2 linked regions of the Arabidopsis thaliana genome follow. The protein of the gene in region 1 interacts with the protein of each later gene in a pairwise test. Each region holds a gene or a part of one and is shown in the gene's direction. Other genes may lie near its edges.

Region 1 (7,079 bases):
TTGAACTGCTTGTTAGCGAGTTTTAGTGACCCCCTTGATATATAATAAACCTTTCCCAACTGGAATCTGTCAAAAAACTTCCTTGCAGCATCATTAAACATCGTTGCTTGAATTTGTGTTCCCTGGATAACAGCCAAATAAACAAAATGAGAAACCGCATAAAGGTTGTCTATACCAAGTTTGAGAGATAGTAAGGAGCTTTCTTACTTCTTCATCTGTTAGTTCAACATTGAAGACACATCCTTCACCCCTAGCGTTTTTGTAATTTCTCATCACTCCCTTGTTTGTAACTCGGACTTTGATGGTCCAGTTTCCTTGATATGGATTTAATGACACAAGTGGATGAACCCTTCTAGTCATGGCCATTCTTGCAGCTGGTGCAGCACTGTCAAAATCCAAACGAATTTAAGCAAAACACTAATAAAATAACCATTTGACAGAGACAGTAATGAAACATTGAAGATCAAAAAAGATAATTTGCTTACTTTCCCCTTTGTTCACTCATTATCTGAGAAGCTGATTTGGCTACAAATTCCTGCTTCGGTTTCAATGTGATACCAGTAGAAACAACATCATTCAGAGGACTGACAGGAGAATGCTCTAGTTTCTGCTTCTTGGGCTCACGAGCCTCCTCCTCTCCGCTCTTACTGTCCAAGTTAATCTCAGAATCAAGCACAGAACCAACAGCCTCACATTTAGTCACAAGGAAATATCTGACACAGAGACAATAGAGAAACACACATGTTAGTAACTGTTGATTTCAAGAATCGAACCAGAGTGATTATCCATGTAAAGAAGAAGCAAAAGAGAAGTCTTACTTTGTAGATTTGCTTGAAATGTCGTTAACAGTGAAATCAATGAGACGAATTAGACCCAAGTTCTGGATCTTCCCAGAAATGATTTCAGGTGTGAGTGAAGCAGTAAACATTGCTTTGACTTTCGTCTTTCCGTCATTTGCACTAAATCTGTCAACCAAAATCAAAACAGATCCATCAGAACAAAATCGGTAACTAAAACCCAAAACTAGGCAATATACAAACTATTATCAACAAACCCAGATCTCTTCTATCATAGAGTCATCAAAGTCGTTGCATATCATAATCTAGCTATACAATTGTGATTGAGAGAATATAACACTGACCTAAAGCTGGAACAAGCGAGATTTAAGAAATCAAGTAAAACCCAGATCATGAAAAGCCAAGGAAACTTACGTATAGCGATTGCCGATAGGTTTAAGATCCACAACTTGAACAACGATCTCAGATCGATCGGAAGACGAATCAAAGGATGGGTTTGACAAAACGGTGGAGATGGCATCTGGGGTCACCGAAGTCTGCATCTTTCTCTCTAGATATTGAAAAATGAAACGTTTGGTTTCTCTTTAATCAGAATGGTGAAAACTAAAAGCCGTGAGATAGTGAGAAGAATGAGAGAGAGGTACGAGGGTTTTTGTAAAGGAGAGAGCTTTAAGCGGGAGCTATTAAATTCGATTAATTGTTCCCCCGCCGATTTCAATTTCTATTTTTTTGGCAAAAAACTCTTACCGCTTCTTTTCAGTATCTTTCCATTTTTTTGGCGCATTTTGTTTTGTTTGATAATGGACTTTGTATGCGAAAGAAACTGTGTTACAAAAGCCTTTCACTTCAGGCCCATAGTTTATGGTTTTGTTTTTATGTGTGGGTCTTGAATCCACCGTATCACACGTTATGATTCATAAATATCTAAAATTTATTTCCAACAAATACAATTTTTTTGTTTCTTAAAGAACACATACGATATTATTATTTCAGAAAAAGATTAAATACAAAATCCCCAGGATCAAAATCAAACACCAATTCCAGATTAAACAATATCAACAATCTTTAATGTTTTTGACTTTTTTTTTTCTCTGAATGTTTTTGACAATTGAAAAAAATAATTCTACGCATTGCGTGAGGCAAACATTTAAAATTTTAATTTATATAAAGAGAAAATTTATACTTCTTGACTTGGGAAAAAAAAACTTGCTGAGGTCCTTACTTGATATGAGCTGTCAACTACTAGTGTGAGCCGTACAAATATAATCGGACGGTTCAGATCAATACATTGCGAGCCAGTCAAACTTCAAGTATTGACTAATCAACATCAACGTTTATTACACTAATTTATTATTGTACCCCTTATTTTCCAAAAACATAATACTTTTATCCCTATTGTATCCAATAGCTCTAAAAAAATCCACCATAAAATGTGTTTAATGAAATTCGATTATCTCTGACGACAACATTATCAAAAATCAAGACAAGAGATAGAACATAAAATGTTCAAATTCGTAAAAGTAATTGAAACAAATTAAATTCATTTCGAAGTTTATTAATTACATTTTGACCCCCAAATTTAAGTTAATTAGACTTACCATCCCCATGGTTTTCGTCCCGCCATATGGGGAAGTCAATGGACGAATCAATCTCAATTAGATTCGGGGCGGCCCAAAAATTTATCATTTTCTAAACCTTTCGTAATCTACGAAATTACGGGATCGCCTTCGTTGGAATACTAATTCCATTTTTCAACTTTGTTTTTATAAATACAGTTTACGTGCACCACAACTTTTCTTCTTTCCCTTCTTCTTCCCCAATAATCTCGCTGAAACTCTCTTGCTCTTGCTTCTAAAAATCTGTTCTTTGAGACTTTGATCACACAGTTATCAAAATCATAATCTCTTCTTTCCTGGTTTTTTTTTTTTTCTTCTTCTTCTTCCCGTTTCACGGTACGTTTACTCTGTTCGATCACCGAGTGTATGATAAAATGTTTCTGTGAAATCAAATAACATATCACTTTCTAATAAACATCAAAATTTCTCCTTTTTTACAGAAACAAGAAGTTTTTTTGGGAAAGCCGTTGACTTGACTTTTTCTTTGGGGTGTTGTGTGGGAGCTTATAGTATGGTACCATAAGTGGGAGCTTATAGTTTGGGGTGTTGTGTGGGAGCTTATAGTATGAGGAAAAATGTTAGATTTGAAGAATGCTTCACTGATTTTTTACCATAAGTATGTCAACTGGATTAAGCTTAAGTAGTAATGGTTTTTACTATGTTCATGTGGGGATTTCTCTTCCTCTCTGTTTACTTCATTCCGAGATGACTTGAGATTTTTTCAAAGTATAGTTCTTGGAGTTAAGCTTACCTAGTAATCACTTTATATAACATCCCTTCGTTTACATTTGTGCTTTCACCTGGAAACACTTTAGACTTTTCTCTCTTCTGCCGTGTGTATTTAGTTGTCTAGTCAAATTTAAGTTGAGTTTAGGCTCTAGTCTTTGGTTTTGGTTATGGCAGAGTTTGATTCCAAGGTTCCTGTTTCCGGAATGAACAATCATGTCTTTGAGGCATGTCACCATGTTGTTAAGGCACTGAGGGCATCTGATAACAACCTGGATGCCAATTTGAGAAAGCTCCTAAGTGACCTAGAGATGCATTTGTCAACATTTGGGATTGCTGATACCAAAGTTGAAGATGCAGGATTCTCTGAGATCAAGAAGAGATTCAAAGAAGCTGTGAAGAGAATCCGCAGTTGGGAGACAAACCAGTCGACGATGTTTGAAGCTGGTCTGTCTGAAGCTGATCAGTTCTTTCAAGCCCTGTATGACGTTCAAACAGTTCTTGTGGGTTTCAAAGCTTTGCCCATGAAAACTAACCAGATGGAGAAAGATGTTTACAACCAAGCTACGGTTGCTCTTGACATCGCGATGTTGAGGCTTGAGAAAGAGCTCTGTGATGTTCTGCATCAGCACAAACGGCATGTACAGCCTGATTACTTGGCTGTTAGTTCCCGTAGAAAAGATATTGTGTACGACGAGTCCTTTGTCTCCCTAGATGATGAAGTTATTGTCGAAGCTTCTTCACATGAAGATGATGAACAGATATCGGACTTTTATAATTCTGATTTGGTTGATCCCATCGTACTTCCTCACATCAAAGCTATTGCAAACGCCATGTTTGCTTGCGAGTATGATCAACCATTCTGTGAAGCTTTCATCGGCGTTCAAAGAGAAGCTCTGGAGGAGTATATGGTTACTCTCGAAATGGAAAGATTCAGCTGCGTTGATGTTCTCAGAATGGACTGGGAGGATTTGAATGGTGCAATGAGAAAATGGACAAAGGTTGTTAAGATCATTACTCAGGTCTATCTCGCCAGTGAAAAACAGCTATGTGATCAGATTTTGGGAGACTTTGAGTCAATTTCTACAGCTTGCTTCATTGAAATCTCAAAAGATGCAATTCTATCACTCCTCAACTTTGGAGAAGCTGTGGTGCTGAGATCTTGCAAGCCAGAAATGCTTGAGCGCTTCCTTAGTATGTATGAGGTTTCAGCAGAGATTCTCGTGGATGTCGATAACCTCTTCCCCGATGAAACAGGCTCGTCTTTAAGAATTGCATTTCACAACCTGTCAAAAAAACTAGCTGATCATACAACCACAACCTTCTTAAAGTTCAAAGACGCAATAGCCTCAGATGAATCCACACGCCCCTTTCATGGAGGCGGGATTCATCACCTGACCAGGTATGTAATGAACTACTTGAAGCTTCTCCCGGAGTATACCGACTCACTAAACTCACTGCTTCAGAACATACACGTTGACGACTCCATCCCCGAGAAAACAGGAGAAGATGTCCTCCCTTCGACATTCTCTCCAATGGCTAGACACCTCAGGTCAATCGTCACAACTCTAGAATCCAGCCTTGAGCGAAAAGCTCAGCTGTACGCAGACGAAGCACTGAAATCCATTTTCCTGATGAACAACTTCCGTTACATGGTCCAGAAGGTAAAGGGATCAGAGCTGAGACGCTTGTTTGGAGACGAATGGATCAGGAAGCACATTGCAAGCTACCAATGCAATGTCACTAACTACGAGAGATCCACATGGAGCTCCATACTCGCTTTGCTCAGAGACAACAACGACTCTGTAAGAACCCTGAGAGAAAGATGCAGACTTTTCAGCCTTGCATTTGATGATGTTTACAAGAACCAAACCCGTTGGTCAGTCCCTGATTCAGAGCTCCGCGATGATCTTCACATCTCGACCTCTGTCAAGGTTGTTCAGTCTTACAGAGGATTTCTTGGAAGAAATGCAGTTCGCATAGGCGAAAAACACATCCGATACACTTGTGAAGACATTGAGAATATGCTCCTTGATCTCTTTGAATGTTTGCCATCTCCAAGATCACTGCGCAGCTCTCGTAAGAGATGATGATGATGATGACTTGAGCCTAATGGACTCCATCTTTGTTCTTTTGATCTTTTGTTATTTACTCACTTATGCAATGTTTTGTGATTGCTTACATGCAAATAAAGTTGTAGAATTTTTATACTCCATTGTGGGGATGTAATAGTAATTGGCTATCTTGTCACTATGTCATCTTTGACATGCTTAATACAAATTCAATGTTTAAGTCGGATTTAACATTTATAATGACGATGGTTTTTTGGTTAACTCTATGGACTCATCTGATTTAACTGAGGTATGGACTTGGGCTATTTGACTAGGAGATATCTTTGGTGACTTCTTACTACTACTCACCTCTGTATTCTCTGCTGGATTTTGGCATATGCAACAGCAAAGTGTTGTTGATGGAACAAGTGAAGGAAGTGAGCTAGCAGTGGAAAGAAGACTGGGCTGATTATGAATGTCAGTAATGACGTCTCTCCCCAGTCAAGAAGATAACTAGAGAATTATGCTTAGAAGATTTGATGGTAGCCTTGCTATTCTCCATCTATTCTCATCTTCGGAAAATTGTCTAAACTATAGTACCCTTATGTCCAAAAACCTACAATCTTCTGTCAAAATATGAGAAGGAACTTTTTTTGGACCGTTTGATTCCTGCATTCGAGTATGAAGCAGATGCCAAATGTTTCTCTTACTTGTCTTGCCTGAAAAGTTATATAAAACTGAATAAGCTGATTCAATACCAATCTTTTACCCATATCCTCATATGTTGGACCATTACTAAAGGGATAGAGAATAACTGCAAGATGATGAATGCTCATGCCAAAACTTCATCTACTAAGCCACTACCCTCTCAACTCGGTTCCAAAAAAAAAAAAAAAAAAGTCTGCAAATTCAGGAATGGAAACAAAACTAGAGAAACGCTCTAAATAGCCTAAAACAGCCCACCCAGTTCCCACTTAAAACCAAAGGTTGGTTCAGCAGGCAGTAGCAACAGCATTTTTCTCCACAGGTAACTCGGTCTCTTTCACCACTTTCGATTCTTTAGTCACTTCAGCCGCAACTCCTAGTGCTGCTGCATCTTCTGAGGCTGTAGTAGACTCTTGAGGTTTCACAAGATTAATTTTTGACATTACACCTTTGTCTGCATTGGCCACCAATGTCTGCTTGGAAACAATACCAAAATTTGTAAGATATTCCTGTTATATAATTATATATATCAATGAATTGTTGGTTTCAGAGAGGATTGTTGCCTGTTTTTTGATCTGCAGGTGTTTGCTTTTCCTTTCTTGGATAATCTTTTGACGATTCTCATAGAACTCAAAATCATCGAGGATGCATGTCTTGCTTGCGTGGTCCTTGAAAATCTTGATGACTTTAATGCCTTGCTCGAGCTTTACCTGCAGACAAAAAAATGGTAAGAAAATAAATGACAGCTCAATTATTAGAATACAAAAGATGATAAATAACACAGTGAGCGGACATACTTCCTGTGTGTCTCTGCTATTAGTAACCGGCTTGTTCTCATTGTTCTCCAGAGTTATATGCCTCAAGGAGCTATTAGGGATATCTTTAACGAAATGCCACTTAACAGGGAAGCAACCAATCCATTTGTCCTGTTGCCAGTATTCAACAGTCTTATTGAAATCAACAGGGCCTACCATCTCGGCTAAACCAACAAATTGTCCACTAGTGTTTACCTGCATCAATGAAAACATAAGAACTCTACAACTAAAACTGAAATACACAGCAGAGGTTGATAACATATTCAAAAAAAATTATTCACTCACAGAGAAAAGTAGAAACACGGGACAGCCATCTGACTTCTGTTTTGCCTCGTTATATGAGGCATCCAGCTTCTTGTTACCATTAGG
Region 2 (5,515 bases), on another chromosome or scaffold:
CAAAACCTCCACATTCAAATCCAAGACTTCAAATAAAATTCCAGAATAAGAAACAAGATTATAGTACCGAAAAGTTTGAGATCTCCATCTTCAAGAACCGGGACTTCACCAAATGGCTGCAAGAAAAGAAGAGAATGATTGTTCATTCAAACACATATGAAGTTAAATAAATTTGGTAGATGCAAACAGTTAAGAGTTAAGTGTGAGAGATTATACGTTGAGAGTAGAGAGAAAAGTTTTGGTTTTGGCTTCACCAGCAAGCCAATCTACGAAGACAAGCTCAAAGTCAAGACCTTTCTCATTGATACAAAAGAGAGCTGCCGAATTACCCCAGATAAAGCCACAGTGGAGCTTCATCTTAGAATCAGCCATGTTGTTTTCTTTGTCTATTTACTAGATTAGTTATATTATTGGGTGATGAGTCCTATTGTGATCTCCGTATTTATAGTTGTGAAAAAGTATATGTAATAATCAATAACCTTTCGGCCTTCTAAGAGTTTTTTTTTTGGGTGTAAATGTTAAATGCCTTCTAAGAGTTGGTCATCGATCGATAAATGATAGTATAGTTTAGATTAAGTATTAAATACCTGTCAGACTCTCTAGAGTTTTAATAAAGGGTGAAACTAAGTCAATAACAACCAGAAATGAGTTAATTAACAAAGTGGCAATAAAAAAACGAATTAAAAGAGGGAAATTTTATCTAGAACCAACTTTTTATACTGCATCTACTAGTACATAGACTATTAGATTTGACATTTGAGTTAAGTAAACTAACTAATCAATAATTGCTCCATTTATAAAATTTTAGTGTTTCATAATTATAATGATCTCCCGCTTTCTTAGGAAACTCAGACAACCTCCAACGGTGATTCTAGATGAGCTCTAGAGAGGTGAGACCATCCTCAACGCCAGTATGCTATGAAAATTTATAAAAGGATAAAAATAATAATATTTTAATTTTACAGTTATATTTTAAATATTTTATATAGATAGACCAATAATAAAGATGAACGTGTCTTTGGGTTTGTGATATCGTCTCTTAGCTAAGAGTTTTTGGAATTTCTCATTCTCTCTCTTTTTTTAACTTTTAATTATTTTTATTTTTTTAATTGTTAAGAATTCTATTAAACAACTATCGTTAACGGTGGTCTGAAGCCCTTAGAAAAAAGCCAACATTTAAAGAAAAAATGTGATGAAGTGGATGGAACTCACTTTAGCTAAGAACATTTTTTGTTTGGAAAGAGGCCCATACCTATCATGTTTCATAGGTTCGGTAATGTGAGGAAAGAACATTAATTTTTTTTCCCGTGTATTTTTTTTCTCTTTTCTCTCGTAAAATCCGATGATGATTACGAATCGATCATCATCAACCGTCATCTAGATCATTAAGTAGAAGAAAACCAAAGAAGCTCGTCTCTTATCCGCCGTGATCATCATCATCTACACCGACGGTGCTCACATCTGCGAATTCGATGAACTAAATCGGAGAGTTTGTTTAACCAAATCGGAAATTTATGTGAAACTATGCTCCAATCGTTTGATAAAGGGTGAAAGCAACTAAATAACAACTAATAAATGAGTTAATTAACAAAGTGGCAATAAAAAAACAAAATTAAAAGAGGAAAATTTTATCTAGAACCAACTTGTATACTGCAACTAGTACATTAACAATTAGATTTGAGTTAAGCAACTAACTAATCAATAGTTTCTCCATTTATTCATTTTTTTTCGGGAAAAATGTTGTTTAATACACCAACTTTCAAAAAGTGGCCATTTAAACCATGAACTCCATATATGGCCAAATAAAACTTAGTAAAAGCGTTGACCGACCATTTTATACATCTCAAAACGTTGACCAGGCCAAAAATCCTGCGACGTTAGCAGTCGTTAACAGAGTCGATAACAGGCGTTAGCAGGCGTTAATTAATCCGTTTAAACACAAAAATCTTCAAACGAACAAAAATGGAGAGGCTTTTGAAGATTTTTGAATTTGGGAATTTTAGGGCATGAGAATTGGAATTGGGGATTTTAGGGATTGAGAATCGAATTGGGAATTTTGTTGGTTTCGATTAAACACAAAACGACGTCGTTTGTGTTTAAACGGATTAATTAACGTCTGCTAACGCCTATTATCGACTCTATTAACGACTGCTAACGTCGCAGGGTTTTTGGCCGGATCAATGTTTTGGAATATATAAAATGGCCGATCAACGCTTTTACTAAGTTTTATTTGGCCATATATGGAGTTCATAGTTTAAATGGCCACTTTTTGAAAGTTGGTATATTAAACAACATTTTTTCCCTTTTTTTCCGTCAATTTCTCCATTTATTCAGTTTAGTGTTTCATAATGCTCTCCCCGTTTTCTTGGGACCTATGTATTAGTGGACTTTACTTGGATAGGCCCAATAATTGGGCTTTTCCCCTTAGTTTTTTATTACAGCGACACCGTTTTTAAAGATGTTTTGTCTTAGCTCCGACAGCAAGTGGGAGATGACGTCACCTTTTCACTGCAGTTTCCCTTTACTTTTTCCTCGCAATTTTCTCTCTTCTCTCTCTCTGTCCTCCTTATCTCATCGTCTCTGACTCGCTGCACTTAGTTTCAGATCATATAAACGAATTTGGTGATTGATCGGTGCATGACGAGCGCATCGGAACTCTTCTCTACACGAAGATCACGTCCGGGTCGATCCGACCCGGCTTTAGAATCCGACACTTCTTCCTATCGACACCACTCACACCATCATCATCGCCGTCACGGCGTCCATCATCATAATCAGCGTCATGATTCCGACGGCTGTGATCCTCTCCGGCGACCCACTCCCCGTCTCCGACGCTTCTTTCACCATCCGGTTAGTTACTTTCCACCAAATTAGTAATTACTAATTTCAGTAGTTGTCTGAATTTGGTCCTTTTTACTAAAATCTCCCCTAATTTACAGATTCAGGAACGTAGTAGACCTATTCGTGATGTTCAAGGCACTAGTCAGTATTTAAATACGGATAGTACTGATACTGAAACTCAGAGTAGCAGCTTTGTTAACCTAAATGGATCCGAGAGGCTTCCTGGAGCTGTTCTGCTTGCAAGGGATAGACTTTTCGAAAGATTGAGAGGTGTTTCTTTGTCTAGTAACAGGTCTGTGCTTAACCCACTGATAAATTTTACAGCTTTACTTGATCTGCACTCTAGTCTGATTTTAGATTTCTTTAAAAATAATTGCTTTTGTCTGATCAAGATTCTTTGAAGCATGTTTTGATTTTGCTCTTGTTTCTTGTGAGGATTGGTCAAGACTTAGTGTAAAAATCAGTTTTTGTGGATTATTGTTGCTTTGTGTATTCTTTAATATCTTCTTTGAAGCCTCTTTTTCAAAATTTGGTTACGGATTTGTTTCAACTTTGTTTTTCTGATTCAGTCGAAGCAACAGAGTTTCATTGGATGATCAAAGGGAGTCTTCATTTCATTCTATAGATGGAGATCCAATTTTTCAACTAGCAGGGCTTCAAGTGACCTATGAATGCAACAAGAAACCACAAGGTCTTACTCAAGATGCTATTAACTGTTTACACCGGCAAACTTTTAGCTCAGCCGAGGTTAAATCCGAGATGAGAGATTGTAGCATATGTTTAGAGAGTTTCACTAAAGGTGACATGCTAATATCCTTACCCTGTACCCATAGTTTCCATTCTTCTTGCTTAAACCCTTGGCTTAGAGCTTGTGGAGATTGTCCTTGTTGCCGTAGAGCCATAGCAAAGGAATAGAAACTTGTAAATAGAATCTTTGCCTAACCATTAGGCCATAGCCATACACATCTTCTCTTCTTCTTGCTATAGACATCCTTAAAACGATCTTCTGAGTTTTGTCGCCCATGAGTGTTTTTTTTACTGTCACATGTTTGTAATGGTTTTTGTTGTGCCATTAGGCAGTTCAAGCGTTGATATCGTATGGTGTGAATCTTTTTAGTTTTATTCACTGTGATCTCTCTTTTAATGTCTTGTTGGTTATATGAAAGAGACTTTTTCCAAATCCAAATCTTGATCCGACAATTTGGTTATGCTTTGAGGTTATAGCTCAACAACTTAACGTTTTCATTTTCAGAAATTTTGATTGTCTCAATCTGGTGATACTACTTTAAAGCTTTGCTTCCTCTTCCAAAACGTTGTCATTATCATACATCCATGTACGTTACATATATTGAAGTCTAATATCAAAAGATTCAATCAATTTATAACAACTTTAAAAGAAAGTTATGCCAAAAAAAAGAGAACTTTAAAACAAAGTTAAGGCTAAAAGGAGAAGACAGTTGTGCACAAAAAGCTATTTTTTGCTACAAAAGCATATCAAAATGGACCCCTTTCTTCATAAATTCATGATCATCATCTTCAATTCCTTTCATAAAATCCCATTTATTTGCTCCTAACCATCACTTTCTCTATTGGGTACCTAACACACCTCACTCTCTAACCACTAAAATTAACAATACATACATTAAGAATGTCCTGCCTTTCTTTTTCTATCACATCAATTTCATGTCTTCGACAACATTAAAACCTATATGATTCAAATTCAACCAACTTAAAACGGTTTAGTTCAGTTTAAAATCAACGAAAGCTGAAGAAGATAAGAGAGCTTCACTTGCTAACAATTAACTTTCCATAGATTGAAATTTTGACTTGCTAGAAAAATATGAGACAAATTCAACATTTAAGCAGCAATTCTCCTTCTCTTGCTGCAAATAAATCCCATCACCTTACTCAATAATATTGAAGGCGACAAAGAAAATAAGAGAAATGAAACTTAAATAAACCAATCGTGTAATCAAACTCCTAATATTTGAGCTGTTAAACAAAGGGGTTAGTTAGTCTCATTTCAAGGCTCGAGTCTTGTTATTAGGATTACTATGCACAGATTGCATCTTCCCTACCATACTCAGACATCAATATGCCAAACAGGATCATTGTCGAAGCTTCCTTTCTCCAAGGCTGCAACTTTAGCTCTATGAGCTGTTGTTGAAGCCAACGCTAGTGAGCTCTTCCCTTTCTCCTCTTGACCCGAGTACTCGCAGGCTTCAGTTAACGAACCAGACCGAAGATCAGCGGGTGGGATAAAGCAATCTAGAGACAGACCAGGAACATTGAAAGCGACTTCTTCAATGGTCCATCTTTCCTCCATCTTTGTCCTAGTGTGGCTCATAGCAACTTCCCCAAATCTGAAGAGGGTAACAACAGAGCGTCCAGAGTGAGCAATCATGATCCCTTCCACCTGTTTGTAGTCGTCTAGAGACGAATTGATCGTGGTCTCCCAGTAAACAGCATCACCATCGTTAGATTGGATTCGAGTCAACTGCGAATCCTCAATTTGAGCTAGAAGTCCTGTTCTTTGGCTGAAGTAACCGAAAAGGATGTGTCTTACAATCTCTGCTGGTCCTTCACTCCTCGCCCTTAGCGTTTCAGGATCAGTACATAGCTTCAAAATGAAACAATCTTCACCATTCACCTTCCTCTCTCCAACACATTTCGA

Evidence for each region.
Region 2: the proteins of EXO70E2 (region 1) and AT1G49850 interact in a two-hybrid assay, tested with the Arabidopsis thaliana proteins (one large-scale study listed by BioGRID).

The regions. Positions count from the first base shown.
Region 1 is NC_003076.8:24,551,303-24,558,381, forward strand, and holds EXO70E2 (exocyst subunit exo70 family protein E2), read left to right. Parts: upstream 1-2,441; 5' UTR 2,442-3,309; coding exon 3,310-5,229; 3' UTR 5,230-5,741; downstream 5,742-7,079. Other genes in the region: RPA70D (Replication factor-A protein 1-like protein), read right to left, coding at 1-122, 208-385, 486-713, 819-965, 1,212-1,339; ECT3 (evolutionarily conserved C-terminal region 3), read right to left, coding at 6,183-6,368, 6,459-6,605, 6,693-6,905, 6,996-7,079. UniProt on the Arabidopsis thaliana protein: Influences the subcellular localization patterns of other exocyst complex proteins (e.g. SEC5A, SEC15A, SEC15B and EXO84B) leading to their recruitment to exocyst, well-defined large punctate structures throughout the cytosol.
Region 2 is NC_003070.9:18,453,567-18,459,081, reverse strand, and holds AT1G49850 (RING/U-box superfamily protein), read left to right. Parts: upstream 1-2,462; 5' UTR 2,463-2,637; coding exon 2,638-2,850; intron 2,851-2,939; coding exon 2,940-3,133; intron 3,134-3,410; coding exon 3,411-3,756; 3' UTR 3,757-4,238; downstream 4,239-5,515. Other genes in the region: GSTF14 (glutathione S-transferase (class phi) 14), read right to left, coding at 68-116, 217-372; AT1G49840 (glutamyl-tRNA (Gln) amidotransferase subunit A (DUF620)), read right to left, coding at 4,925-5,515. UniProt on the Arabidopsis thaliana protein: Probable E3 ubiquitin-protein ligase that may possess E3 ubiquitin ligase activity in vitro.